Linked DNA regions of Notamacropus eugenii. The protein of the gene in region 4 interacts with the protein of the main gene of each other region in a pairwise test. Links are inferred from orthologs where the notes say so. Each region holds a gene or a part of one and is shown on either strand. Other genes may lie near its edges. The genes, in order: SEMA4G, RDH12, RBFOX1 and RBPMS.

Region 1 (7,265 bases), on a different chromosome or scaffold from region 4:
TCATTTTAATCACCAAATATGCACAAAGAACCAAAGGTGCCTATTCACACTGAATGTGCTGCCACACACCTACTTGTATATATTCATACATCTCTTTGCACAGTAATATGTATCTACATCTCTGTAAATCTGTAGATGTTCCTTCCTTGATCTTCAGACTTCTTCCTATGAATCCTCAGAACTTCTGCCAGGCTTTCCCCTGGCACTGATCACTTGATGCTGTGCTATCTATACACATGTCTTCTTTTACCCTTGCCCCCAACATCTTAGGCTGTTTGCCCCCCCCCCCCCCCAAGAGCAGGATGTGTATGGTTTCCTCCATGGACCAAATACTCAGAAAATATTCATTATCACTATTAATAATAGTTAACATTCAACTCATCAGGCATATTTTAGACATTCACTCTGTGCAAGGCGCTCTGGTGTCTAATACAATGGAAATAAAGAGATGAGACTCAGAATTTGCTCTCAAGAAACTGACAGTCTGCCAACAATCTAAGAGAGAAAGACAGGTGCAAAGGGGAAGTGCAGAAACTGGAGAGATCTTACCTGGGGGATGAGGGGATTCAGGGAAGGCTTCATGGAGAAGGCAGCACCTGACATGAGCCATGAAGCCAAGGGAGAACTTTAACACAAAGAGTTGAGGATGGAGTCTACTCCAGGTATGGGGATAGCCTGAACAAATGCATGGAGACAGGAGTCAAAGGAGAATGTAGGGAGCGTTTTGCCCAAATCCCTTTCCTTATTCTGTGAAGGACATTACTCAAGCACCATTATTTTAGGTAACTGAGGATCAGAGAAGCTTAGTGACTTGCTCTGGGTCCTGTAAACTCTACATTCAGTACCCTTTCTTCTCTACTACAGTCCCTGGCTGAATTGTATGTGTCTTTCCATGTATGGATTATTTCTGTCTATGTATGCCCATGCACACTGGAGTCTTCACAGGGAGCCTAAATTAAGGGTATACTACTGGTTGGGGGCTAAGATCCCCTGGGGTAGGGCAAGAGGGCCAGCTGGTCTCTGATCTACTTGGGACTCCTACGGGAAAGGAGAAGGCCAGGACCATCTAATGATACTTCTCACCCCTCCTTCCCACCAGGGTGGGCTCTATAAGCATAAGCTCATGGTGCTATTATTATCCCCCTTTTACGGTTGGGGAAACTGAGACATAAAGATAAAGTGACTTGTCCAGTCACACTGCTAGTAAGTGTCTGAGGTCATATCTGAAGTCCATTCCTGCTTCCAGGTCCAGCAGCACTCCACCCACTGCACCACCTACCTGTCTCTACACAAAGAGCAGCCTTAGGGCCTCTATTCCTCTTTGATGGAGGAGTGGGAGGTTCCCAGATGAAGACCTGGGAAGAACTGGGGGCAGAGCCCAAGGATAATGCCTGGAATCACAGCCAACAGGGATAAACTCAACACCATCCATCCCCACAGGCTTCGGTCTGTTCCTCAGTAAAACATTAACCAGCCTGCTTTGGAGGAGCAGGAGAAGTTGCCAGAATAGCCATAGGGAAGTGGTGAAACAGATCATGTCATGTGGGGGGACCAATGGAGTTTAATTAAAGGGCAAAGGTTGGGAAGGGTGGAAGATCTGGAGAGGTGTGATTGTTTGCTGAGGGAGGGTACACGGTCAGCTTAGTACCATTGGATATGGGCAGCTTTGACCTAGATACATATGTGCACACACAGACACATACCTATACACAAACACACACGTGTATATGAGTACACTGGCATGAACAAGATGTGTTTGTAAATACCCACAGATAATACAAACAGTGAAGAAAGGGCTAAGTTCTGGGCTGGGCGGGCTCAATCTTCCATGAAGAGGGGAAAGGGGATAAGGATGATTCAGAACAGTAAGGTCGGGATGAGAATGGGGCTCATTTACAAAGGCTCAGCTTCCTTCCCCTGGCAGGGCTGCTGGGTTGGGACCAAAAGTCCCCAAATCCTCCAGAGCCATACTGTCCTAAAAACGTTCTTTGGAATCCGGAGAACAGGCTGTCTCTCCCAGAGGGCCCCTCTACCTTCCGAGGAAGGGCCAGTCCTGGGCCTGCGAAGCAGCACTGCCCGGCAGCGGTTGCCCCTCACCCCACGACACACCTCTCCCACCAGGGGAGGTCCCAGTTGCCTGGGGCCTTCCAAGTCTGGGGTCTGAGCTCCCCCGAAGCAGTCCTGCCTTCCAGTCCTCTCGGGCCCAGGTGGGAAGATGTCAGCATCCCTTCCTCCAGGGCGTTGGGAGAAAGTGCCCACGGGGGGCTGACTGCACCTCCGGAGCCCATCCCCGGGTCCAAGGAGAGCCCTAGCCCCCCCCGCCCCCCTGGGGCTCAATTCCTCCCGCGGCAGCTGGAGGACGTCCTCTGGGGCCTGGGCTTAACACCGATCTCGGGGAAGACCCCACCTAGCCCACGGGGCCCTCCCGGTGCCCACGCCACGCAGGGCTGCAGCCCGCAGACCCCCATCCCTTCCGATCCCAGCGGGCGGGCTGCAGCGGGAGGGACCCCAGCCCGGCCTCTCCGTCCCCACACCTGCCACGGCCTCGCTCCGCTCCCGCCTCCCACCGCAGTCCCCAGCCCGCTCCAGCCCGTGCACCTGCGGCCTCGGCTCCGGGCCGAGCCGAGGCATCCAAGCCGAAGGAGGCCCGCCGCCGCCCCCAGGCCCGACCCCGGAGGTCGCAGGAGGGAGGGTCGACACCCCCGCCCCCACCCACCTTGCGGGTCCTAAATCCGGGTCCACAGCGACACGGACACTACGGCTCCAGCTGCACAACCCTGGCCCGGAGGGGGCGGGGCCGGGCGGGGGCGGGGCCGGAGCGGCGCCGGTGGGGCGGGGGCGGGATGAGGGGCGGGAGGGGCGGGGCCGGGTGAGGGGCGGGGCCGGAGCCGGGGTGAGGGGCCGGGGGGGCGGGGCTGGGAGAGAGCCGACTACCTTCGTTTCGCCGGAAGCCCGACCTTGCCTCCCGCGACCCAGGGGTCAGAGTCGCGGCTCGGGCCACGCCCCCCGCCCCAGCCGGACGCTGCAGGCACCTGTTGGACTGCACCTCGTGGGCGGTGGGCCTCCCAGGGAGCCCGGGCTTCTCCTGCGCCGGCTCCGGGCCGGGTCACCGGGTCGGACGGGCTTCGAGCCGTGCCCACGTCGCGCGGCGCGGGAAAAAGCGTGGGCCCCGGCGGCCGCCTAAGCTTTCGCCGCCTCGTGGCGGGGCCGCAGTCTGCGCCGAGGAGTGCCCGGCGGGCGGGAACCTTCGGCCGTTGGTTCACGGAGCACAGACAGGAGCCGCGTAGGTTCTTCTCTCCCGGGGTCTCCAGGGACCTCGGAATCTCCGCATCGGAGCTGCGCCCCCTAGCGGCCCGCACTGCCCCCTGCACTCTGGCTTAGAGGTTCCCATTTGGTCGTAAGGGAGAAACGGAGGCCCGGGGGAGGCCGGACCCTCACTAACCCGATCCCGTAAGGGAGGGAACTGAATGGCTTACGACGGCCCCACCCCCGCCGGGCTTGGCCTAGGTGGAGTCTGACCCCTGACCACTCCTCGGGAGGCCTGGTCTAGTGGGGACAATGCTGGGCTTTGCCGCCTTCCTCCGGAGCCTCCCACCCAGGTCTACCTCCGTCCACGAGGGGAGGAGACTGCTTCCACTGCTCAGGCACAGAGCCCCCCGCTATTCGGTGCTAGTCCTGATTGTCACAAAATGGCTCAGAACCACCTCCTCCCCCCAAAGCTGACGGGGCAGGCCCAGCCTTCGGGGGGTACTGGATGGCTCCGAAGCCCTTCCTCTGCCCAACGCTGAATCCGCCTCTCCCAGCTCCGCTCCCTCGCTCAGTTCGACCTTCGGGCCAAGGGGCACAAAGGCCTTCGAGCCTCTTTCCAAGGACAACCCCTCGGACACTGCAGGTCACATTCCCGCTGTCCTCTCTTCCAGGTTCACGAGTTCCTCTGTAGCTCTAAGCCAGCCAGCCTCCCCTTCCCTTGGAAGACTTACTGTAGAAAAAACTCTCCCACGTAGTCACTGAACTATGCCTTTAAAAACCATTGCCCAATACACCACCCCCACCGTTCCCAGCTTGGTGTCGTTGTGTATGGGGGTGGGGCGGAGGATGTGGACCGTCCGCTCCCAGACACAGAAAGGGAATGCTGCTAAACCTGCAGATTGCTAAAAGCGGACAGGACGGACATTCAGGTGGAGGGACAGTAGGAGGGAGAAGGACTGGGATTGGGCATGAGGAAATGGAGAGGGCTGAGGAAACAGGAAGTGAAAGAATAAACTCTGGACAGAAGGGGGGGGCCAGGTCGGGGACGGTTCTAATCGGTCTAAAAGACGGCATCACCAGAAGTGATTCGTTGTAGGTGGCACAGCCATATTTGAGCGCAGGTCCCACCTCGAAATCTTGGGCTCTTCTCACTGCAATGACAATTACCTCAAACCCAGACTCAGAAATTCAGATTTGGTGGTATTAGGAAAAAGGGAAATCGGGAGATTCCAGATGAAAATTGTGTTTAAGGTAGGTCATTCTAGCAGTGATGCTGAAGGACCTGCCACAAGGGGTAAGCCCAGGGGAATACGAGTTAAACTGACCTGCTCACCTGTGAGCTGGAGCTGCTTGCTAGGAGACTGCTGAAGAGCGGGTGGAATCAGGCTTTGGCAACGAAACCCAGGTCTTCACTTTATCAGGGAGCAGTGGCTAGAGCAATGGGCTTGGAGTCAGGAAGACCAGAGTTCAAAGCCAGCCTCGGACACTTTGTTTCTATTTTTAATGTTTATTTATTTTTGGTTTTCGATATTCATTTACACAAAATTTTGAGTTCCAGATTTTTTCCCCGTCTCTCCCCTCCCCCCACCCCATAACACCTTGCCTTCAGATTACCCCTTCCCTCAATGAGCCCTCCCTTCTATCACACCTCTCCCTTCCCTCATCCCCATCTTCTCTCTTTTCTTGTAGGGCAAGATAGATTTCTATACCCCATTACCTGTATTTCTTATTTCCCAGTTGTATGCAAAAACAATTCTCAACAATCATTCCTAATCCTTTGAATTCCAACTTCTCTCCCTTCCTCCCTCCCCACCCATCCCCACTGAGAAGGCAAGCAGTTCAATATAGGCTGTATAAGTGTAGTTTTGCTAAAGACTTCCATAATAGTCACATTGTGTAAGACTAACTACATTTCCCTCCCTCCTATCCTGCCCCCCATTTATTCTAGTCTCTCTTTTGACCCAGCCTTGGATACTTAGCTGTGTGACTGTAGCCAAGTCATTTAACCTCTCTCATTTTTAACTGTAAAACCTACCTGACAGGGTTGTTGTGAGAATCAAATGACATAATACTTGTAGTCTGCTTAGCACAGTGCTTGGCAGTGTGGTAGTTAATAAATGTTTGTTTCCTTTCTTCTTATCTTTAACCTTTTTTAAAAATTTAGGAAAATCTGCAGTTTCACTGCATGATACTCACTGAAGAAAATTTGACTTTTTAGGGGAAAATAAGGCCTATTAATGGATCTGATTGCAAAGCCAAGCTTTATCCTACAGGGAAAGAAAACAGGTTATTAAAAACAACTTCCTCCAGAAAGCTTCCCTTGATTGCTGCTAACTTCCTCGGGTTATTTCTTTACCAGAACCTTTGAATCCTTATTGTCTCAGTCTTTCAGAGGAGAAGTACTTTGTGGTCCTAGGAAAAACGCTAGCTTAGGAGTCAGAAAGGTTGGGTTCTAGTCCTAATTGTCCATATGAAATCAGTTAATTCCTTTGAGCTTGTCTCCTCACCTGTAAAACAGAGAAAATACTTCACATTTCTATAGTACCATATAAACTGTTCAAGGGCCTTTCCCACAATAAGCCTGTACGGTAGGAAGTGGAAGCATTGTTCCCACTTTACAAATATAGAAACAGACTCAAATGCCAAAGAAGAACGTCAAATGGTCACCTGATCAAAAAGAATTCACTTTAAAAAGACTTTAAAAATCAAACGAGACTGAGGAAAAACAAACAGAAAAAGCAACCCAAGAAAAACACAGAGACTATGAAAAGAAAGTCAATCAACTGGAAAAGGAGATCCCAAATCTTCAGGAAGAAAATGACTCCTTGAAAATCAGAATTGGGAAAGGGGAAGCCAGTGAAGTTAAAAGAGATCAAGAAGTATTCAAACAAAATATAGAAAATGAAAAAATAGAAGAGAATGTGAAACTTCTCATAAGAAAAACAACTAATCTTTAGAACAGATCAAGAAGAGGAAATGTAAGAATAAAAGGACTACCTGAAAGCTATGATTAAAAAACAAACAAATCTAGATACAATGATACAAGAAATTAGAGAAAACTGTCCTGAAGCATTAGAACAAAAGGGGAAAGTAGAAATAGAAAAAATCCACCAATCACCACCTGAAAGAGATCCTATGAGGAAAACTCATAGGAATGTTACAGTCAAATTCTGAAACTCCCAGCTCATGGATAAAATATTACAAGCAACAAGGGAAAAAAATATTAATATGGCAGTATCACAATTAGAATCACACAAGACCTAGCAGCAGTGACACATAAAAACCACAGGTCTTGAAACACTACATATTGAAGAGCAAAAGAACTGGGGTTCTGGCAGAATATATCATGCCCAGTAAAGCTAATTAAGCATAATCTTGAATGGGAAAAAAAAAATGGATTTAATGGACTGTCAGACTTTCAGGACTTTAAAAAAAATTGAACTTAATAAATCTGACATATAAGTACAGACAAAAGACTAATTATAAGGGACTCGTTAAGGACAGACTGTTTACCTTTTATGTATATAAAATGTAAAACGTTATGTCTAAGATTGTTCTTAGCTATTGGGTAATTCATAAGAAAGACTGGGGTAGACCTGAGTCTGACATGTCTTTAAAAAGTAAAACCATTTAGGAACTGCTATAAAAAGAAAAATTATTTTATACAAATGGAGGAGGAAGAACCGACATAGAAATTAGATTGAGGAGAAGAAGTGTTAGTTCTGGAAACCTACTTTTATAAGGAATAAGTTCAAGGGGGAACAACACACACACACATAAAATTCAGAAAGAAAATGCCAAGGGGATAAGGGAGGGGGAAGAAGATAAGACAGGGATCTCTAGAGGGGAGGGTGATGGAATAGTGGGGGGGATATAAAGGGTATTTTGATTAATGGGCAGAAGTAGAATTTCTTAGGGAAAGCATGTCTATATATGTGTATCAATATATCTCTATATAAATATATCTGCACTTAATGTAGCCTTCTGGCAGGGAGGGGAGGAAGGGGGAAAAAGAA
Region 2 (6,983 bases), on a different chromosome or scaffold from region 4:
AGAGAGACTTTCAAGATCACCTAGATCAGAGATTCCCATTAAGTTGTCCCCAACCTTCATGAGTTTTCAACAATGTCTTTCAACAGAAAGAGGTGTCAAACTTAAATAGAAACTGGGGCCACTAAATTATACATAAGGATCCCTAAAAAACTCCTATTAACTTAGAAAACTATATGTTAACATTATCTATGCTCTCTTGCATTTTTATTTATTCTATTAAATATTTCCTAATTACATTTCCCAATTACAACCTCACTCATGGCCACAACGTAACTCAGGTCCCATGTTTGATACTTTTAGTCTATGATATTTGAGCAAAAAATTATTTAATGGTACCATAAAACAGTAAGCAATTGCAAAGAATGTTATTAATAGTATATTAAATTACCCTGGAGATTCATAACACTTTTTTTTTTAGTTGAAAGGGGCTTACAGAACAAAAAATGTTGAGAACCACTGAAATTAGTCCAACCCCTCTCTTACACATGAGGAAACTTATTAAACATGTTCTTGAACTTCTAGCCACATGCCTCCAAAACAAGAGCAATTAGCAGCAAAGATAGGTGAAATGGGAGGAAGTGGGGGACTGTAACAGGAAAAAAGACAAAAACTGGAAGGGTATGGACTTGCCTCTACGAGCAAGATCTTTGGCTGTCTCCTTTCCAATGCCTGTATTGGCTCCAGTGACCACAACTACCTTTCCAGGAAGCTGCACAGTTGATGTACAAACTCCACCAGCAAAGTATTTCCTACAGATACAAGAGAAAAGATTATTAAAACTCATTTTCTTTCCCAGAACCTATTTGACTTGCATAAGAAATAATTATAAATTTCTTACATGCTTTCTCTATGCAATCAGCATTACACACAGAACATGCTCCTTCACCTTATTTGACCTCTTAAGGTCAACAGATTACTTTTGGCTCAGGGAGGGCAATCTGTTAGAATTTCATGCTAGAAGGTGATGTATGCCTATGAACAAGGGATAATCATCTGGGCAAAGAGGATGAGAGCTTTGTTTGATCTGTATTTTTCCTTTGTTATTATTCGTTGGCTTATCTGAGGATCACTTGGAAGGATAAGGTACCAGACACTAAAGTCCTTGCTTGAGCTGAACTGTCAAGTATTCAAATGATGCTTCAGAGAGTGCAACTCAGATGGGCTGGCCATGTTGTTCGAATGCAAAATGTACACTTGCCAAAAAGATTATTTTATGGAGAACTCACATGAGGCAAGGGATCACATGGTGGCCAGAAGATGCGATACAAGGACACTCTTAACAGTCTCTCTCAAGAACTTTGGATTTGACTGTACAACATGGGAGACACTGGCACAGGACCGCTCAGCATGGCGTGCCCACATCAGAAAGGGTGTTGTGCTCTTTGAGCAAAGTAGAATTGAGACAGCACAAAGTAAACACAGGATGCGAAAATTTGGGATATCCAAACCAAATATTCACACGAACTATCTGTGCCCAACCTGTGGAGAGCATTCCAAGCTCATATTGGTCTGATCAGTCATGTCAGACACACTGAAATTTCACTTTATCATGGTGATGTCATTTTGGTCCCCTTCAAAGATGAAGTACAGCAACCATTCCTTTTGCTTATACTGATTGATATTTAAAATAAAATATTTTTAAACATTTTGTTTTAAAATTAAAAATTTTTTTTCAATTAAAAAATGTTTTTAAGCTAAATCAGAAGAAAGTTCCCTAACTAGAACAGAGACCATGAAAACTCAGAATCAAGTCCATGAGGTAGCAGAGGACATAGAGTCCCAGGAACTTGAGTTAGAAATGACTTTGAAGACACCTGGCCAGATCTATTGAGCAGGAATCCCTTCAGTAACATCACTGAAGTATTTATGATTTTCTGTAGGGTCCTTTAAAAGTAGGTTCAATACCCTATAAATAATATACATCATGCCAAGTATAATACACTTAACAAGTCTTAGCTGAATAAACTAATCTGCCCAGGACCACTGGAAAATTCTGAGCAATTCGATCAGTGGGTCAACCTTTGGCCACCCTCCATAGAAATACTCCACTCTGGTCACCTCTCCATTTCTCCACGGGTCTAGGAAGCCGGCCATCTGAGGTACAGTGCTGTTATTCTACTATAGTGGTAATGCTAATAACAAACACTTGCTAACTGACTGACTGAACTCTTGAGACCAGAGCTCCTCCCTATTGCCCATAGATGGTCACTCAAGATTAATGAAAGAGGAATATCAAGGCCCTAAAGGGATGCTTTGGCTTCAAAATGGGATATGGCTGTTCCTTCTCTTTAGATTTTTCAATTATTGACAATTCCCGGATTTTTCCTTTAGAACAAGCAGCCCTTGACATCTACAAAAGTCTAACCACAACAGAGAAATCACAAAACAGAATGAGAAACTAGATTTGTCAAGATATGGAACTTTAAAATGAAACAAGAGTTTATTCATTTTTTCATTTCTTTCCCAGAATTCCCCTAAGCATTCATTAATTAATCCCTTAACAATCATGTCATTCAACAGTGCCATCTGGATGAGGGATGCTTAGTAGACAGGCAGGCACGCATACATTAAGAGTAATCAATACAGTTAGAGTCCAACAGCAAGTCATTTACTAAGGTCATTCACTCTTCCTACCAGTTCCTAAAGGATTCAAAATCACCCATCCTCCACTTGCATGATGCACTTGGCAAATTGGCTTGACCTCCTTTCTCATCTTTCAGGGTGGTATCCATAATTACTACCTTCCTCTGGTTCCTACTCCCACTTTTTTTTCCCAGTCTGCTTCCATCACTTTTTCCTCTCTTAACAGAAGTGGTCCTTGATTCAGGAATAAGTCAAGACTTTTAGTGAACCAATGAATGAACACAGACCTGATGTAGGGAACTGCCACATACAGGAAGGAAAGGAAGGAGGTGAGCAGTCCCAAGATGCCTATCATGTTTCCAAGCTGCTGCTCCTGCTGCTGTAATGCTCACTACTCTCGGGTTCCTGCCCGTCTGCTTTCTCTGCTACTCCCAGCAGACTGGATCAGAGCCCGACTCGGAATCGGATTTAAATTTGTGAGCTGTGAGAGCATGGCCTGCTGGGAGATGTAGTCCAATTCTGAACTAAACCTTCAGGGGCGGGAACATAGGGAAACTGGAGAAACATCTTTGCAGCTCACTCATCCCATCACATTTATATCCCTAAGATATGACAGTTCCTTTTTTTTTATTCCTGGGTCTTGTATTGAAAGGCAACTTTTAAAAAAAACAATTACAAACAACTTCAACAATTGATTGATCACTAACATTTATACAGCACTTACTATGTGTCAGACACTGTGCTTAGCACTGTTATCTCAATTATTAACACATTTGATCCTCACAATAACCCTAGGAGATAGGAACTATTATTATCCCCATTTTGCAGATGAGGAAACTGAAGCAAACAGAGGTTAAGTGACTTGCCCACAGTCATATAGCTAGTAAGTGTTGGAGGCCAGATTTGAATTCAGATCTTCCTGCCTCCAGATCCAGTGCTCTATCCACTATATCATCTGATAAATAGATAAAACATTTATTAAGTCTTCACTTAATATGTTAATAATGTTCCAGGCATTGTGCTAATCAGTGGGAATAGAAATACAAGCAAAAATTGAGTCCCTCTCCTCAAGGAGCTTACACTCTAATGGGGGAAATGACATAGAAGGGGATGCTATTTGAAATACAGTAGAATGAAAACAGTGCTATATATACATTAATTCTTCTTTATAGAATCATAGAGCTGGAAGGGACCCTAGGGGCTTTCTGGTCCACCTAATCTCTGAACAGAAATCTCTCCTGCCCCATTTGAACAGTGACTGCTTTCATCTTCTGCTTGTTTTCCTAAGAGCATTTTGTGGGAAAAATCAGAAGAAAGGAGCAATGATAATATCTCATATTTTATAGCACCGTCCCTTCCATCTCTATGCCTAGACTTCGCTTCTTTGTCAACTCTGTCTTGGAGAAAGACCAAGTTCCTTCAAAGGTGGCCTCCTAGACAAGGTCTCCTTTGATCCCATGTTACTTTGTCTTTACTCATCTGTGTGAACACTGTTTCCCTTAATAGAATGTAAACATTTTAAAATAGTATTTTATCCTAATTACTTGTCAAGACTATTTTTAGCATTCATTTTTACATTTTGAGTTCAATTTTTGATATTGGTTATATCATGTAAAAATATATTTCCATGTGGGTCATAGTTATGAAAGAACAAACAGATCAAAAGGAAAAAAATATGAAAAAATAAAGCAATTGAAGAAAGGATGCTTCAATCTGTATTGAGTCCATCAGTCTTTTATCTGGATGTGAATAGCATTTTCCTTCATGAGTCCTCTGTACTTGTCTTATATCTTTGTATGACTAAGAAGAGCTGAGTCATTTATAGTTAATTATCACAAAATGTTGCTGATACTGTGTACAGTGTTTTCCTGATTCTGTTCATTTCACTTTGCCTCAGTTCTTACAAGCCTTTACAGGTTTCTCTGAAATCTGCCTGTTCATTATTCCTTCTTGCACAATAGTATGCCATTACATTCCTATAATATAGCTTATTCAACCATTCTTCAACTGATGGACATCCCTCACTTTCTAGTATTTTCCACCACAAAAAGGGCTACTATAAATATTTTTGCACATATAGGTACTTTTCCCTTTTTTATAGAATGTAAACTTTTTAAGGGCAGAAACGTTTGCATTTTGTATTTGTATCCAAAATATTTAGCATAGAGCCTGACATATAGCAGGCACTTAATGAATGATGAATGAATGAATGAATAACTCAAAAAAATAATACCACACAATTTAGACCTAGAAGGAACCTTTAGTTTCTAGCCCTTCATTTTATAGTTGAGGAAACTAAAGCATACAAGTACTCTATCATCATATTACCAATGAAGAAATTGGGGCTCTGACAGATTGACTTGCTCAAGGTCACACAGGTAGTCAATGGCAGAACTTGGTCTTGAATATGGGTCATCTGGCTCTTAGTACATTTTCCTAAAGAGTACATTTTTCCTCCATACCACACCAGCTGATGTTGACATTTCCTTTTTGGGGTGTTACAGAGAAAGAGGGAAGCAAAAAAAAAAAAAAAAAAAGCTAACAAACTCCTTGTCAGGCAAGAGAAATAACATTTTTAGAGTTGCTAGCCCACTCTGAGTCTGTCTTTTCCAACCAGAAATGGAAGCGGTAGGTGAAGTGGAAAAAAAAAGTATTAAATAGGTGAAGGAGCCAGTAAGAATGCAGTGGAAACAGGAAGAAGAGAAGGGAGGATGAGCACAGGGTCAGAGGTACCAAAGGTCAGAGGGGCCCTTACAGCAGTTCTGCTGTGCCCCAGAAAATCTAAGACAGTCATAAGGAACTAAAGGGATGAGGAAGGAGGTAGCTGTCACTCTGGGTGAAGTGACGTCCCCATACTAAAATCTACAGTGGCTTCTGATTGTTTTTTATATTGAATCTCATCTCCTCTGATCATGATTCAGTGGAACATGCTTGACCTAGGGACAGGAAAGTCCAAGAGAAACACATTCCAGTATCATGGGGCAATAGGTGAAAGGGATATAAAACATCTCAGTCATCTAGTGTTTAGGTTGTGTGGTAAGGGCCTAAAGTGGAAACACAGAAATAACTTGACAAAATAGTTATTAAACATGATCTTCATAACCCAAAGTAGGTTTTGTAGAATAGGTTTTGTAGAATTCCTTTCTTCAAATGAAAAAATAAAATATCAAAAGGCAAATGTTTCTCAACCCAGTATTGGGATACTGTCATGTTAGTATTGCAACATAAGGAAGATAATAATTAATACTTTCATCATTACCAAAAGGCATGTGCCTACTTACTCATAGTGCTGTACTAGACTCTAAAAACCCCTGACCAAATCCTATCCCCCGCAACAGCTTACAATAAAAGCCAGACAGCACTAAGGCAAAGGGCAAGAATGATTTCCCATTGTTCCACCAACCTCTCCCCCAACCCTATCTCTACAATCCAAACAAACTAGCCTACCTTATATATACCCTGTTGCCACAGGGCCAACAAATCAATCCTTTCCATGATGTTTGGTTTCTGTTATCTTATAATCTCTATTCACAATTTCTCGTTACTTAGAATTTTCGTAACTTCTGACTAGTGTTTCTGGATATTGCTTGATGGAGGATACATACACCCACACCCATATATATAGAATATATATGTATATATAAATGCATGTATATGTATATGCACATATACATACGTAAATATAAGTGATATTCACAATGAAATTGATAAGTAGAAGCATTTTCTCCTTAATATTAGAATCCTGTAGAAATCCTCCTCCCTCATTCCTTTCTAGGTCCATTTCATATACAAAATCCAATGGAAAAACTATAACTTCTTAAAACAAGGACTCCTGTTGGGGGACAGCTCTGGACCGGGGTCCCCCGTGAGGACCGTGAGACACCTGAGGGTCCGAACCTGCCCCCTTGTGGGGTACTGGGATGGCCCTGGTAACAGGCTGGCTCCACCCACAGGGAGGCACTTGGGAGGAGCTCACCTGCCCATGGGAGGTACGGGGGAGGAGACAGGGGATAATAAAAGGGGATGACCACAAGAGCTAGAGGAGAAGAAACGCAATAAAGCTTGCTGACTGCAACTCCTTTCGGGTGCTCTGCCTGTGTATTGCCCTCCCCCAACCGGGAGAGGGACCGGAGACGTCCAAAGACCGGGGATAGGTAAGTAGAAGGCGAAGGCCTGGGAGTCGCCCCGGGCATCTGGCGCCCTGAACAGGGACCGCCGTAGGGAGAGGAGAATCCACCTTGCCCCGCAGTAGTAGCCTTGCTCCGCTACTGCGGGAAGATTCAGGCAGCCTCAGTATTGAGAAGTGGCCTTGCCTCGCTACTGCGGGAAGATTCAGGCAGTCTTAATATTGGGAAGTGGCCAGGATGGGTCAGGGAAATAGTTTTCCCAGTTTAAAGCCC
Region 3 (7,164 bases), on a different chromosome or scaffold from region 4:
TGTTTCTCCATTGTCATGTGGGCTGTCTTTAATCAAATAATATGACTGGAAGATGCTCAGATAACTCTCTATTGTGATTATAGTCAGTTCTTAATTATTCTGGTACAATTAACTTCCCTGTATATTACCCATAGCATAATATATTGGAAAGCTGCAAATAATTGACTATATTGATTCTATATATTTCAGCCCAGACTGGAAAAGGAATATTCTAGTTCACATAGTCTGGTAAACAAAGATTATCAGTTTTCTCTGGGTTTCAATAAAATGAAATATTTAATGCCATATTTATTAAACAATCCTCTGCATAAATTATTTTTTGATTGGTCAGGAGGAACGTTAGGAATTTTCATTACCTTCAGGTCATCATTACAGATATCAGTTACCATCCTTCTGTACAAGTGGGAACATTCTGTTTAAGAGAAAGTTTTGGTTAATGGGATGCTGTAAGATACAGTTTTTTGTGAGGCTTTGAAAAATTATACTTTATTTTGGATTTTCTGTGGTGATACCCTTTCACAAGTGCTAGTCAATGAGAATTGTAAACTAAATGCACCCAAATGTAATTCTTGGAGTACACGCACATATACATATGTATGTGTGTATATATACATACATGTGTGTATATATGTGTGTATGTGTGCACACACATAATTTTGCTAAATATTCACAGCTATAATCAGAGTGCCTTACCCCTCACCCTTACCCTGTTCTTTAGTTTTTGTGTTCTGCTCTCTTCTCTTCCAAGCTGACATTTAGTCTTTGGGCGTCTGTCACCCAGAAGGAATGGGGGTGGATAGTGTCATCATTTACAATCCCAAATTCTGCATGTTTTTCTTTGGGGGGGGTATTCTGAGCCACAGAAAAGGGGGTGGAGAAAAGAGGGGCAGGGGGAAGATTTGATTAAACTAAGAAGACGTGACAGAAGGGAATCAAAGAGTCGACAACTGAGAAGGGAGTTTGATCATGGATTGAGAGAGAGAAAAGATGAGAAGAGGATTATTTTAGGGAAAGGAAGCTAAAAAAAATCAAAGAAGTTATAAGAAAAATTTTACTTGAAGGAAATCCCTAAAAAACTGCATAAGGATACATCAAATGATACAAAGGAAGTAACATGAAAGGAGAGAATACAGATAGAAAGCAAAGTAAAAAACAAAAAGAATGTAAATTAGCCATTTGATTGAAGACTGGCTTCAAAACTTTGGATAAAATGGATATTTTGTTATTCTCAGAGTGGATAATGATACAGAATACATTCTTTGGAAATATAGTTTCAGATTCTTAGTGGAAAAGGTAGCGAATGTGTTTCTCTAGTGATTATCAGATCCTTCCACCACCACTCCCATCTCCATCACAGGCAGATTATGGAGATAGGAAGTATCTCTGGAAAAGTAAAGGTTGTCCTAAATTTGTGTTCAGAATGTTACCCTGCAGTCCCAGAGTTAAGTAAGCATCCATTCAAAAGGTCCCTTCTCCTTAATCTTAGACTTATCTCATTAAAAGAAATAGATTTTTTGAGTAATTATCCTTAATTGCAACCTACCCGACCTTGAAGTTATATCATATACTTGGACAGTTTGAAAATATCTTGAAACATGAGAGAATACACTTACTACAATAGGTATTGGTTTCCACAATACAGGTAGTACTACGTAGTAGAGGGAGCACAAAATTGGACTCAGGAAAAATTAGATTCAAATCCTACCTCAGGTGCTAACTAGTTGGGTAACTGAGAGGAGTCACCTAACTTCTCTAAACATCAATTTCATCTGTAAAATGGGGATAATAATAATAGAGATGGTACCTGTGCCTTTTAGGGTTCTTGTGAGACTCAAACGAGATAATGTGTTAACAAAAAAAATAAGTGGTATAGCACTTATCGAAGCTGTCTCCCAGGTCTTAGTGCAGTCATAAGCTAATAGCTTAAGATCACACTGAGATTTTGGGTGCATCCCGTCTTAATATCAGATATTACTGTTTATATTTTTTGAAAGTGAGGGTAAAACTCTAGTTTAGAAACAAAGTTTTGTGAAAACCTTTCAAATGCGGTGCACTTTATACATTTTATTCCTTGTGACTGTCAATTTTATATGCTCTTGGAAGGGGAATAAGGGAGTGTGGCATCCCATACCAATGAGTTGATTAGTATCAGGACTTTGTGGTGAGTAAACTCCCTTCCCTAATGGAGAGCATCAGCAGTTCTATGACTTTGAGCCTTAGAGAATTTTCTGAGGCCCAGAGAGATAAAGTCACTTACCCATGATTACAGGCTTATAGTTATCATACAGGACTTGAACCCAGGTCTTCTAAGCTAGTTCTCTATCTACAATGCCATGTTACCTATCAGTAAAGATAATACCTTATGATAACATGAACATATATCTCTTCAGGGTTCTTCAAAAGATTTCCTCATATATGATCTTATTAACTCACAAAAAACCTATTACTAGGTAAGTAATATTACCCCCTTTATTATGTACTTGAAAGAACAGACTCAAAGGAAGGGAAATAATTTGTTCAGGATTGCATGTTTAAGTGCTGAATATTGGATTAGAACCCTGGTTTCATGACTTGCCAGGAACTGTTTTCACCACTCAGCGATAAAGTGACATAATATGAACTGATTAATACCATCTAACAGAAAGTAATAATCTCCTCCTGTCCCTATCCAAGAGTGAAGCTGTCTATAAATGGAAGCCAGGAATAGGTAAACATGGCTATATCCCATGGTGACTTTTCTGTCCTCACTGGTAACTTCTTAGAAATGCCATGTTGGGAGTCACAGCTCCAAATCTAAAGTTAGAAACCATATCGGACTGTTAAGTAAGAGGGGTCAGCTTACAGCTGCTAACCGGAGCTCGTTTGATACATGAGCGTCAATTGTAGAAAAGCTTTCAGTGTGGCCAAAACTCAAGTTTTAAATGGAAATCTGTGCCAAATATTGTCCACTATAGTTACCTAGACAAGTAATTATGCTGCTAAATCAAGGATCTAAAATTAGTATAGAATAAAGACACCTTGACTCTCTCAAAGCACAGGAATTCGTGCCTGGATTCATGAGAAGGCAACAGTGGAATGTAATTTAAGGTACTTTTCTTTAACTTGCCCAGTTTCAGCATATTTCAGTCATCTTTTCTCTTTATAGTTAGAGTTGGAATGTATTCAGCAGGTGTTATTGAAAGATTTATTTTAAGTTCTTCTTGACCTTGAATATCACCTAAGTGGACACAGCACATTGGACCTTCATATAATTGCCTGCTAAAAAGTGAAAAAATCTGAATATAGCAACCTGCCCTCCTGGTAGACAAAACCAGAGGATCAAAAAGCACAGCTGCTATCTGTGCCTTTCAGAATTGTGAATACAGAGCAGCGTCTACACTGTGCTGAACATCTGGTTGAAAACTGGGGGGAAAATGCTGTCAATCTTCATCTGCCTGTTTACAAATAGGTTAAAGTTAGAAGGTCCAGATTTGTACCTGAGGTTTTCAGATTGCACCCAGATTTTTGATGCTATATTGACCCTGATTTATATGTCAGAATCTGACAGTATCTTTCATCAAGAAATGCGACAGAATTGGAGGTTCAAGTTTAACAATTAGAAAGTCTTTTTACCTCTAAACTCATTTCAATGAACATACGATAACACTGGTCAAATTACCCCTCTAAAGCCTATCCCAATCAATCAGCTTTCCATGTTTTCTCTGTCTCTCAAAAAAATCAGCATTCATAAATGCACAAGGCTCTATGTATTAACAAGGTGATTCAAGTTTAAACATCAACCTCTATTTTCTTTCTCACTTTTTATTTTCTGTGTATCTTCCCAAAACCCTACGTGGAATCAGCCATCTACCATTTGGCAGAATTCATTTTGGAGTATCTTAAACCTTGTTGCTTTCTTCCTCTCATTTTTTTTTTTTTTTTTTGCAAAGCTAAATTAACAAAGAGTACTTGGTTAGTCATGTTAGACAAGCTGTTCCCAAAATAGCACCTTCCATTTTGGTATCTCCAGCTTTGCAGCTGCTGTCTCTCTCCGTTGTCTGGGAAGAAAACTTTAACATTAAGAGTTGCTGATGTAGATTTTTTTCCCCTCCGAGTTGACGAGGGGTTGGGCCCTGACAGAAGTTATTTGGCTGTAAGCTTTGTAGTTTGGAAGAACTTGGTCTATAGATTTTCGCCTAACTTTCAATTGATGTGTTTAGCTTCAGTGGAAGAAATACAATCACTTAAACCATGTTGTCGTCTCAAGGAGTTTTGCTACATCCCTACGGCGTGCCCATGATTGTGCCCGCGGCACCGTACTTCACGGGACTTGTTCAGGTAATTCAAGGCCGCTTCCAACAAGCAACTTAACTCTGGTGCACTTAGAGTAATAATTGGAATTTTTATGGTTGAGAAAGCAAACACTTTTAATACAGGAAAAAGCCCTCATGTAGTCAGTGAGAAGACAGTAGGAAATCAAAAAGATGGATCACCCTAATCTGTGTATTGACATCTTTCATGGCTGAATAAATGGTGTAGTTGAGCTATATTTGCTTGTATTGATCTGCCTGCTGCTTAACATTCATGCCTTTGCTTCAAGAGGTTGACCACAGGGCAAAGGATTTGCTCTCCGTTTCAGCTTTCTGAGGGACTCAGCATTCCCAGTGCAGATCATGAGGCAAAGTAACTTACCATGATGTGGTTCAGTTAAGTGCTTTAGCCCAGCAAAAATGAGTAACATTAAATATGCATTAATTCATATGTTCGACTTCACATGGAATGTCTGTTTTAATAGAATTTTTTTTGTAAAATGGAATAATACATTGATGGTTAATTTATGAAGTTTAGAGATCATTATAGGAACCCCCACAATCAGCCCTTTGAGTTTTTAAGGATGGCAAGGAATCGGTGACTTGAAACATGCTTGGTTTTTGAGGAATTAACTAGCAGTTAATTCCATCACAGTGCTCAGAATAGACTGTCTGCTAGCATTGTACGTCAGATAATTCTTCCAAAGGTTTTCAAGGGACTTAGATTTTGTTTAGATAAAGATTGGCCTTCACTGTGAGAATTGTGCAAGCTGCTGTTTTTGGTCTATTGTGTACTGGTCAGAACACTGACACCTGTGTTCTCATTCTGGCTCTCCTCTTATATGGCTGTGTGATCTTGGGCAAGTCACTCGTATGTAAAATGAGAGAGTTGAGTGAAATGATTTCTAATATCCCTTCCTTATTTTCAAGTTTAATGATTCTACACATCCAGGTACTCAGTTGTAAGGTACATTTTTGTAAACTTTGTCATATGGTTATTGTCCAGTACTGTCTTTCTAACATTTTCTGGTTATTATCCAGCAGGTACTTTTCCTACACCTGCCTTTAATCTAAAACAGACCCTTCTCTATTATACTTTGTTAGACATTATGAATAAAATGTCTAATTGTTATTCATAGCAAACAAGCAACAAAAAAGATTTCCCTCCCCCTCACCCACATGCCCCAGACCTGTAGTTTGGGAGTGAGTGAAGTGAATAAAGTCCAGCCCAGCTCATTAGAGTTGAACTAAAAAATGTCTTCAGCACAGACTGTTGGGCAGACACATTATTTTTTCCCCCAACCTTCATTGTAACCCGTTGTTTATTACAAAAGGCTGGCTAGAATATCAAACCTGGGGTGATTCCAAACAGCCGAACAGCTCAATAATTCTAGATTGCTGGCTGGCGCCTTCACTGGAGAGTTTACTCGATATTAGCCACATGTGTATGAAGTAGAAATAAATTGATCTACCTGAGATTGGCCATTATCAATACTGAAATCTTTGTGTTTCTTGGTCCAAACAAGCACGGGCCACTGGTCCTCCTGTGGTATACGAGGGCAGGACTAGAAGCTTATAGGCAACTACTCTTATTTCCATTTTAGATTTTGGGTGAAGGTCAGGACCAGGAGCTCTGTCAGACCCTCTGCTATCCTGTCCAATAAATAATTACAAGCAAATCGTGCCTTTCACTCTATGCTGATTGATGCTGAAATTGCTTTTGAAAGTTCTCATAAGTTCCTGTTATAGATTAAGTGCCGGTGTAGGAAAAATAACTGCACCCAACTGAAATGGGTGAATGTAATCAGGTTTAATGGACTCGGGAGCTTGTTGGGAATTAAATAACTATTGATTTGTTGGAATGTTGCTGTCATTACAAAATGCCACTCTGGACACATTACCCAGGTGATAGATTAGAAGACACAAGAGCTCTTTGAAAAATTTGGGAGATCTGGTTTTATTCGTTAGGTACACCATCTCAGCCAGCATATTTGTGGAGTGTGGTAAATTGCTGTGAGGAAGCAGGAGTGGGCTGTTGCTACCATTTGCAAACTGTGACATTAGTGTGTATTTCCATCTAAGAATTCAGGTTTGGAAAATGTCTTTTTAATACTTCATTAAGGTCATGATTTCATCAGGATAGATGGTGCCCTCTCCACCTAGGAAGATCATGGCTCACCTGAGCATTAGATTTTGGTTTCCTAGGTTGCTTTGTCCAGAGCAACTCATCCCATGGCATCTAAAGTTTTATTAATGAGCTTTTCTGAATTTGCTAACATCAGTCTTCTGATGACAGACAGTTAGGTGATTGCTGAGAACCTTTTCAGCCAGGCAGAAGTGGACAAATCTCTATCACCATAGCCTGAAAGATCCTGCGTGTAGCTTCATGACTCAATCAGGCATCCTGCTAGCACTTCAGTGGAGGCACATTTGCTATCCCTGCCCCCAAATTTGAGAGCACTATGACAGTGACACAGAAAAAAGACTATTGCATTTGGAGTCAGAAGATCTGGTTTAAAATCATAGTTTGGACTTTTCCTTTATGGTCTTGGGCAAGTCATTTACCCTTTCTGGGTCTCAGTTTCCTTACATGTAAAATTAAGGGGTTGTAGTAGATGAAATCAAAAGTCCCTTCTTATTCTAACTGCATGATAATTTGTAAATTCCTGGTCCAGAACCTGTCTCTTTCCATTCCACACCCTGAATGGTCAGAGACTTAGACTGGCTATCTTTCTTTCTGGTACACTGAGCCAAAAACATGATATTAAAATGTTTGCATTAGAATGACAATTGCATTAGAATCACCTGTAGCAGCGTACTGGAGAAAAAAAATTATATCAGTGAATATTACCATCACCAAATGCCTTCTGTTTTC
Region 4 (7,467 bases):
TTCACAGGGAAAGTTTGGCTAATTCCGATGTGGGGTATTCCTAAGAGCAGTTGGGATTCTTACAACGTTCTAAGACGTGAGTAGTGAAAGTATCCAAGGCGCAGAGAGATGAAAGGATCCAAGACTGAGAGGGAGAGGGGGTCTTAGAGATGACTGAGGCTAGCGATTCTCAAAGTGGAGTCTGGGGGGGTCCCCAAGATTCTTCTACATCAAACTTATTTATAATAATGATAAGGCATTTTAATTTCAAATACAAGAAGCATCAGTAAATATAACCCACATAAACCGAAGCTCTTTGGGAGGGGGGGCCATGAGACCACACAGTTCTCAGCTGGCCCATCCCAACCAACCCCTTGGTTCTACAGATGAGAGATTAAGGGAATTGTCGGAAGTCACACAGATAGTAAACGTCAAAACTCAGATTTGATCTCAGGTTCTCTGAGTTCAAATCCCATCTCTAATCTCCAGCCCAGGTCAAGTCGCTGCAGTCTTTGCTAGCACCTGCTGTAAAATGTCTTGGAGAAGCTGGGAGGGGAGAAGGTGCATGATGGGAGATCGCTGCTCACTGCCCCCTCCTTCCTCTCCTCTCCCCACCTCCTCCCTGTTCAGAAAAACCTGGAGCCGCAGAACTGCATGTACCAGTCGTCTGAGAGCTCTGGAATGTTCACAAGACCTCCCAACGTGCAGGTTTCTCCGTCCCCCACTCACCACCCAGGCATCACTACTCACCCCCACTCACAAGCACTTTAAAAAAAAGTTGTCCCAGCAGTTATGTCCACGAATGATAGTTTAGTCAGCCTTTCTCACCAGACTGATTTTTCCCTCTACTCCCTTCTCTTCAAGCTCACTCCATAATGAACTGCAGCCAGATGGGCCCATCTCCTGTTCCCTGTACAGGATACTAGAGCAGCTAGGTAGTGCAGCATTTAGAGAACCATGCCTGGAGTCAGGAAAACCAGAATTCAAATCCAGCTTCAGACACTAGCTGTGAGATCCTGGGCAAGTCCTTTAACCCTGTTTTCTTCAGTTTCCTCAGCTATAAAATGGGGATGATTACAGCACACCTATCTAAATGACTCCTCTTCTCACTGCCTGGGCAGCGTGTGTTTGTCCTTCGTTGCCGAAGAAGACCATGCCATCAGAGACATGATGACATGACTTGCACTTGACTTTGTTTTGAGTGAGGGAGGGCTGAGCAGGTCATCAGCTTCACTTCTCCTCCAGAGCCATCTGAATCCAGTGACCAGATATTCATCAGGATGACTAGAGATGACCCAGGATGAGGCAGTTGGGGTTAAGTGACTTGCCCAAGGTCACACAGCTAGTGAGTGTCGAGTGTCTGAGGTGAAATTTGAACTCAGGTCCTCCTGACTCCTGCACTGGTGCTCTATCCACTGCACCACCTAGCTGCAGTAGAGCCTAAAGGAAAGACTGGATGACCCCAGGAGGCTCAGAGGAGAGTCTAGCCCAGGTGTAGGCTGTATTTGCTTGCCTCCTAGGCCCTTTTCAGCATCCAAGATGCTGGCCTTCCTTCCACGGGGTCAGCTTGAAGCTGGAGGATTGGGTCTGGAGTCAGGACGATCTGAGTTCAAATCGGCCTCAGACATTCACTAGCTAAGTGATCCTAGGCATGTCATGTAACTGCTGACTGCCTCAGTTTCCTTAACTGTAAAATGGGGGTAATAGCCACTACCTGGAAGAGCTGTCCTGATAATCAAATGAGATATTTTAAAGCACTTAGCATAGTGCTGGGCACATAGTAGTTGGGCGCTTAAATGCCAGTTCTGCCCCTCCCTGCTTTGCAGAAATTTTCAGAAAACCCAGTGGCAGGAGACAGGTCATCAGGGAAAGGGCAGAGCCAAAGTCTGATCAGGCCAGGGCACGAGGGGAAAACACAGACATTTTCAGGCTTCAGCCTTTGGGGAAGGACAATTCTGCCTCCCAACGAACCTCAGGCAACACTTCAGAACCTGGAGAAATTCCCACCAGGCCTCCCAGCTTAGAGGGGAGATTCCTATCCTCCCTCAGCAGACAGGAGGACCCTTGGGTTCAACTCCAGACAGTGGCCCCTGGGCCCTCTGGAATAACCTTAGAACCAGCAGGCAGAACAGCATTTTAAAGCGTGCAAAGCACCTTACACACTCTCTCTCTCTCTCTCTCTCATCTGATGCTTGAAGACTGTGAGGTTGGCTACTCTATTACTATACCCATTTTAAAGATAAGAAAACTGAAGGGGGTGGGGTTCAGTGCTTGTCCAATTGTCTGAAGTGGGCCACTGTGCTGCCTGGGCCCAATCACTCCATTTCTCCACTCCACATTCAGGAGCCACATTCCTACACTTTTAACGGCTGTCCCAGGAAAGCTGAGGTAAAATGTGGAGGAAATGCTCACCCCAGCTGCAGCCCATGCTGAACTTGTAGTCAGTCCATCCAAACACGGAGATCTTTTTTCTGAATAACAGCCGCCTGGCCATGACTCCCCTATTTTAAACTCAAGAAATGAATTTTTTAAAAACAAGTTTAAGGCCTGATGTCTTGTCAAATTTCAATTTCTTAGAGTAAGTCCATAGACTGAGCCCACTGGGGCCTTTCTAGACAGACTCTGACTGCCAGAGGGTGAGGAAGGCACAGAGATCCCAAGCTGACAAAATGGCAGCCTCCTGGGGTCCCGAACAACACATTTTCACCCGTTTCTTTGCCTTTAACTTTGGGGCCTTTTTAGGAGCAGACATCCTAACAGGATTAGAATCCCTAACACAACATCAACAAAACCAGGGTTGAGCGACAACCTTCTCTGGAGGCCATTCTGACAGACGCAGGCATTTTCAATGAGAGCCATTCCTTACCCAAGCCTTGGAATCTTGAACATCCAAAGTCAGTTTCTCCTTTGCTGAGTGACTCCCAGATCCTCCAAGCCCTGGGCTAGGGCTTCTGAGAGTCATCCCTGGAATTCCATGGCTCAGTAGCCTCTCTCCCAGGCCCCACCCTCAACCCATCAGCTCAACTTCCTTAAAAACAAAATAAAATATATGGTCAGCCTCTATTCTGCTTTTATATACATGAAATCTAAAAATAGGGAGTTAGTGAGTGACTTCTGTTTCTATATTTGACCTAAGTACGTTTTCTCCATTGTTACCAGTCATCCCCCAAAGACACTCTCCACCAATAAGGTTGGGTTTCTAATTATCAGAGAGGAGATTGCTGTTCCTACGGATAGGCCTGGCTTCCTTAGAAAAGGAGAGGTTCACAGCGGTCAACCAGCAAGGCTTTGTGGGAGTAAATGGGAGCAAACGCTAAGAAAGAAAGAAGTCCAGGAAACCTCATGTAGAGGGAGAAACTTAACTTGGCGTCAGGAGACCTGGACAGGAATTGGGCCTCAGCACCTACTTACCAGCTATGTGACCCTAAGCAAGTCACTTCCTCTCTCTCTCCCAGCTTCACCTTCAAAAGACGGGCTGGAGGGGAACAACGGAGAAGAAAGTGTACAGTAATACTGACAGCTAACATTCAAAGACAAAGAGCAAGGCTGGCCCCAGAGACCGCACTGGAGAAGGCACAGCCTTCCTATGGATTTGCAGAGGTGGGCACGCCAAAGATCGTTCAGACTTTTCAACGGCCTGATCATCTGTTTTATTTGTTTTCAGGGTTTTGGGGGTTTTTTGCCTTTTTCCAAAAAAATATGTAGGATGACTGGGGGGTGGGTAGAGGGAGAAGAAATATTGAGTGAATCTTACATTAATACATATTTATGGAATACAATAAGCATGTCCATAACACAGTACAATAAAAAGACAATTGTACGTGAAACTATAAGTCAACTAAACCCATTGCTATTCGTTTCGAACATACAGCAAAATTATTGGGCAAATTTCCTTTTTCCCTTCTTTTTTTCTACCCTGCCGCCACCAAAAATAACAGCTAGCATTTGTTTGCAAAGTACTTTACATGTCTCATATGGTTCTTCCAACAACCTGGAGAGGGAGATGCTATTATGACTCCCATTTTACAGATGAGGAAACTGAGGTAGAGAGAAAGCAATGCCGCAGCCAAAACTCCTCAGCCATCCTAATCCAGAGGCAGGTGCTCAGGCCACCCCAAGGTCCCCGAAGTCTGCTGGGACCTGCTGTGTGCCAAAGGGTCCCACTCTCCCATGCTTCCTGTCAGGCTGGGAAAACAAAAAGCTACTGGCCACAAGCCCTTACCTGGGAAGTTCACGGCCCCCTGGGACTTTGAAACAGAAAAATGGGCTCTGCTCTCAAGGGTTCCATTCTATCGGCAGAATGAGACCATTGCTCAGGTTCTTTCCTCAATTATCCCTAATCCAATCCCAGAAGCATTAATTAAGCACCTACTACGTCCAGACACTAGGCTAGGAAGGTCATCCATTCTGTGGCCCTCAGTTTCCTAGATTGGAAAGGGCTCTGATTAGGTTGAAAAAATGTGTTATTTAGCCAGAAAATTAAAAAAAGAAAACCCACCACTCAGCCCAGCTACATAGAGATGTAGGGCAATGGATGCCAACAGAGCACAGGAAAATGACCAAACTGGGTCTGTCTGTGTGACCGTCTACAAGAACAATCCAAAGTGTTGCCCTCATCAGGCCAGACATAGGACACTAGAAATCTCAGCAGAAGGACATTCAGGAGCCTGGCTGCTGACAGCTGATTACATCCCATAGCTTCAATCTTGTGGTTGAGGATCTCTGTGCCCTTAATAGGTGTGAGAGCAGCACCAACAGAGCCAGGGAGGCCACAGACCAACTGAGGACCTGCACCCACAGAGGAGTGAGTGAGGGAGAGAAGCCCAGCCCCTTCCCCTTCCCCTTTCTCCCCCTCCAAAAGCCTAAGGGGGGCAGGGACTTACTTTCATCCAGGCTGGGGGTTATCTGCATATGGTCTCATCCAACACAAAGGAATCAGGTATTCAGAAGGAGGATGAAGGAGTCCTTTTGTCCTCTCCCCAGGGTCATTTCCGGCCATTAACTACACCTCGGAACCTCCCCCCCCCCCCCAACAACTTCTGAAGGCTCATCATTGATTTTTCTAAGTAGTATCACATAGAAATCAACCAACTTTGCTGGGAGGAGATTTCCTGGCTGTAGGACCGCCAAAAGCAGGGGCTTCCCAAGGCCCACCACTTTAGAAAAGCTTTTTTAACACTCCTCTCCTAAAGAGTAGTAAGGTCTATCGTTATACTTATTCTGCAGATGAGGAAACTGAGGCAGAGAGTGGCAAGCTGATTTGGCATAACTGGAAAATGACATGGAATGCTAAAGACGTACGTGGCAGCAACATCTGTATCACCCAACATCGAGAGCCCCACAAGTGATCGGAACCTCGTACGGCAGTCAAATGGTCTAGAAGATGGCAAGGCTGAGACAATGGAGAGCTGGGAAGAAAGAGGAAAAGGGGGAAGATGGCAATGGAACAAAGGCTGAGCCAAAGTATACACTGGAGTCACTGCAGGGGGAAGCGAGTGGGAGTGAAGGACATACCACAAAAAGATTGGCACCCATGCTGCTGATGGGAAGGACTTACAAAGCCAGGTAAATAGCCAGAGATTTAGAAAACATCCAAAGGACCCGACGTCTGGGCCAGAACTGGGGTTTTATCTAAACTCATAACCCACAGTACAGCACGGCCCCCAACCTAGCCAAAACAAAAGCCCTCGAAATGTCTGGAGGAGGAGAAAGAGAGGGCGTCAGGGCCGGGATCTCTGGGCCTCGAGAGCCAAGAGCCACCAAGGGCTCTTTCCCGTCTGACATTCCTAAGATTTTGGAAGCTGGGTCTGACTGCCAGCATTGCCAGTGCCTAGCCTCTCCCTGGGCCTCTGTTTCCTCTCCGGTAAACCAAGAGCAGCCCACTTGGCCCCTTGAAGACTAACCCTTCCCTCTCCAATATGGGGGCCAAGGGGCATTTGTTATCAGAAACGCCTTCCTGCGTCAACAAGCGTTTCATAAGCGCTTACTATGTGCAGGTGCTGTGTTAGCTGCTGGGGATCCAGAGAAAGGCCAAAGTCGGTCCCCGCCCTGTACAAACAAGGTTGTTGGTGTGTTATTACAGGGGCCATCTCTTTGAATACAAACAAGATGCAGACACAAACAACTGCGTTCTCAGGCAGAAAGCTCAAAGATTAAGAAAGACTGAGAGAGGCTACTTGATGGAGGGATTTCATACAGACTTCAGGGAAGACAGGAGGTGGGGACCAAGAGGGAGGGCATTCCAGGCACAGGGGATGGAGCAGAGATGAGGGAGGGCATTGCGGGCACAGGGGATGGAGCAGAGATGAGGGAGGGCATTGCGGGCACAGGGAAAGCCATCGAAGATACCCCAAGATGGAGAGAGAGATCCTTCAACATCGACACTTTCCAAAGGAGGCTCAAAGACAAGAGGAGAAGGTCCCCTCTGTGCCCGAACCCTTCCTAAAGAAGCCCTTTTCCGGGGGAGCAAAAAGCTAGAAGGGAAGGTCCTTTGAGGAAGGGAAGGGCTGAACAGAACATTGGGTATGGATGGAACGGAATATACGCTGGGTTGGACAGGAAATAATTGAGAGGTGCATGGGGGAGGAGGGTGTCAAGAGGTGGGGAAGACCCAGAAAGGCGTGGAGACTGACTTCAGTCCTCAGACTGAAGCCACTTCCCGTTGTGACCTCGGCAGATGGACCACCTCTCCTTCGGCAGAGGTGGCGGAGAACAGGTGTGGAACAAGGCATAAGCTGTCACGCAAAGGCAACACCTGGAGGCTTCGCCTCAACTACATCTATTTGTTCCAAGGAAGGGTTTGGGGATTTTTAGAAATTGAGTTTTATGGGAGGGAGAAAGGGAGGGAGGGAGAGAGGGAGAGAGAGACAGAGACAGAGACAGAGACAGAGACAGAGAGATGGAGAGAGACAGAGAGAGGGAGAGAGACAGAGAGACAGAGAGAGACAGAGAGACAGATAGAGAGACAGAGAGGCAGAGACAGGGACAGAGAGGAGAGAGAAGGGAGAGAGAAGGGGGCAAGAGGGAGAAAAGAAGAGAAAGAAGGGAGGAGAGAAAGACAGAGAGAAGGGGAGAGAGACAGAGGAAGAAAGAGAAACAATTGCCTCCCCCCCAAAGAATAGGGGAATAGGGGCGGTCCCACCTGCTGTTTCTAGCTCCTGGCAAAGTCAGAAAGGTTGAACACTTTCCACAATGACCACAAAGAGGCCCCAGATCCAGAAGCCAATGATGGAGCAGGTCACCCCGCTGCTGACAGAAGGGGGTGCAAACGGAGACCTACATTTTAGGGCCCGGGCCCACATACAGCTCTCTTCTGCTTGACTGCTTAACAAGGAAGATGTTTTTTACCTTTTTCCTGGGTGATGATTCTGGAGGGAGGGGACAAATATGACCCCCTCAAGGACTAAAAGAGGGTCATTGAGGCAGCTTTCATAATGCACAGCTGGGAAGGGAAGGAGTTCAGAAGGAAGCCCTTGACAAGAAGGCCAG

Evidence for each region.
Region 1: the proteins of RBPMS (region 4) and SEMA4G interact in binary tests that used the Homo sapiens proteins (3 or more experiments, as listed by UniProt). The two-hybrid records come from large-scale screens. The link is inferred for Notamacropus eugenii from reciprocal best matches to the Homo sapiens genes RBPMS and SEMA4G.
Region 2: the proteins of RBPMS (region 4) and RDH12 interact in binary tests that used the Homo sapiens proteins (3 or more experiments, as listed by UniProt). The two-hybrid records come from large-scale screens. The link is inferred for Notamacropus eugenii from reciprocal best matches to the Homo sapiens genes RBPMS and RDH12.
Region 3: the proteins of RBPMS (region 4) and RBFOX1 interact in binary tests that used the Homo sapiens proteins (3 or more experiments, as listed by UniProt). The link is inferred for Notamacropus eugenii from reciprocal best matches to the Homo sapiens genes RBPMS and RBFOX1.

The regions. Positions count from the first base shown.
Region 1 is NC_092872.1:178,944,685-178,951,949, reverse strand, and holds the start of SEMA4G (semaphorin-4G), read right to left. Parts: upstream 3,014-7,265; 5' UTR 2,935-3,013; intron 2,821-2,934; exon of another isoform or gene 2,717-2,820; intron 2,530-2,716; exon of another isoform or gene 676-2,529; 5' UTR 550-675; intron 1-549. UniProt on the Homo sapiens protein: Cell surface receptor for PLXNB2. May play a role in axon guidance.
Region 2 is NC_092872.1:312,387,588-312,394,570, forward strand, and holds the start of RDH12 (retinol dehydrogenase 12), read right to left. Parts: upstream 3,016-6,983; 5' UTR 2,939-3,015; coding exon 2,871-2,938; intron 750-2,870; coding exon 631-749; intron 1-630. UniProt on the Homo sapiens protein: Retinoids dehydrogenase/reductase with a clear preference for NADP. Displays high activity towards 9-cis, 11-cis and all-trans-retinal. Shows very weak activity towards 13-cis-retinol.
Region 3 is NC_092872.1:85,127,998-85,135,161, forward strand, and holds the start of RBFOX1 (RNA binding protein fox-1 homolog 1), read left to right. Parts: upstream 1-4,142; 5' UTR 4,143-4,230; coding exon 4,231-4,317; intron 4,318-7,164. UniProt on the Homo sapiens protein: RNA-binding protein that regulates alternative splicing events by binding to 5'-UGCAUGU-3' elements. Regulates alternative splicing of tissue-specific exons and of differentially spliced exons during erythropoiesis.
Region 4 is NC_092878.1:167,536,652-167,544,118, forward strand, and holds the start of RBPMS (RNA-binding protein with multiple splicing), read right to left. Parts: upstream 3,021-7,467; 5' UTR 2,942-3,020; coding exon 2,846-2,941; intron 1-2,845.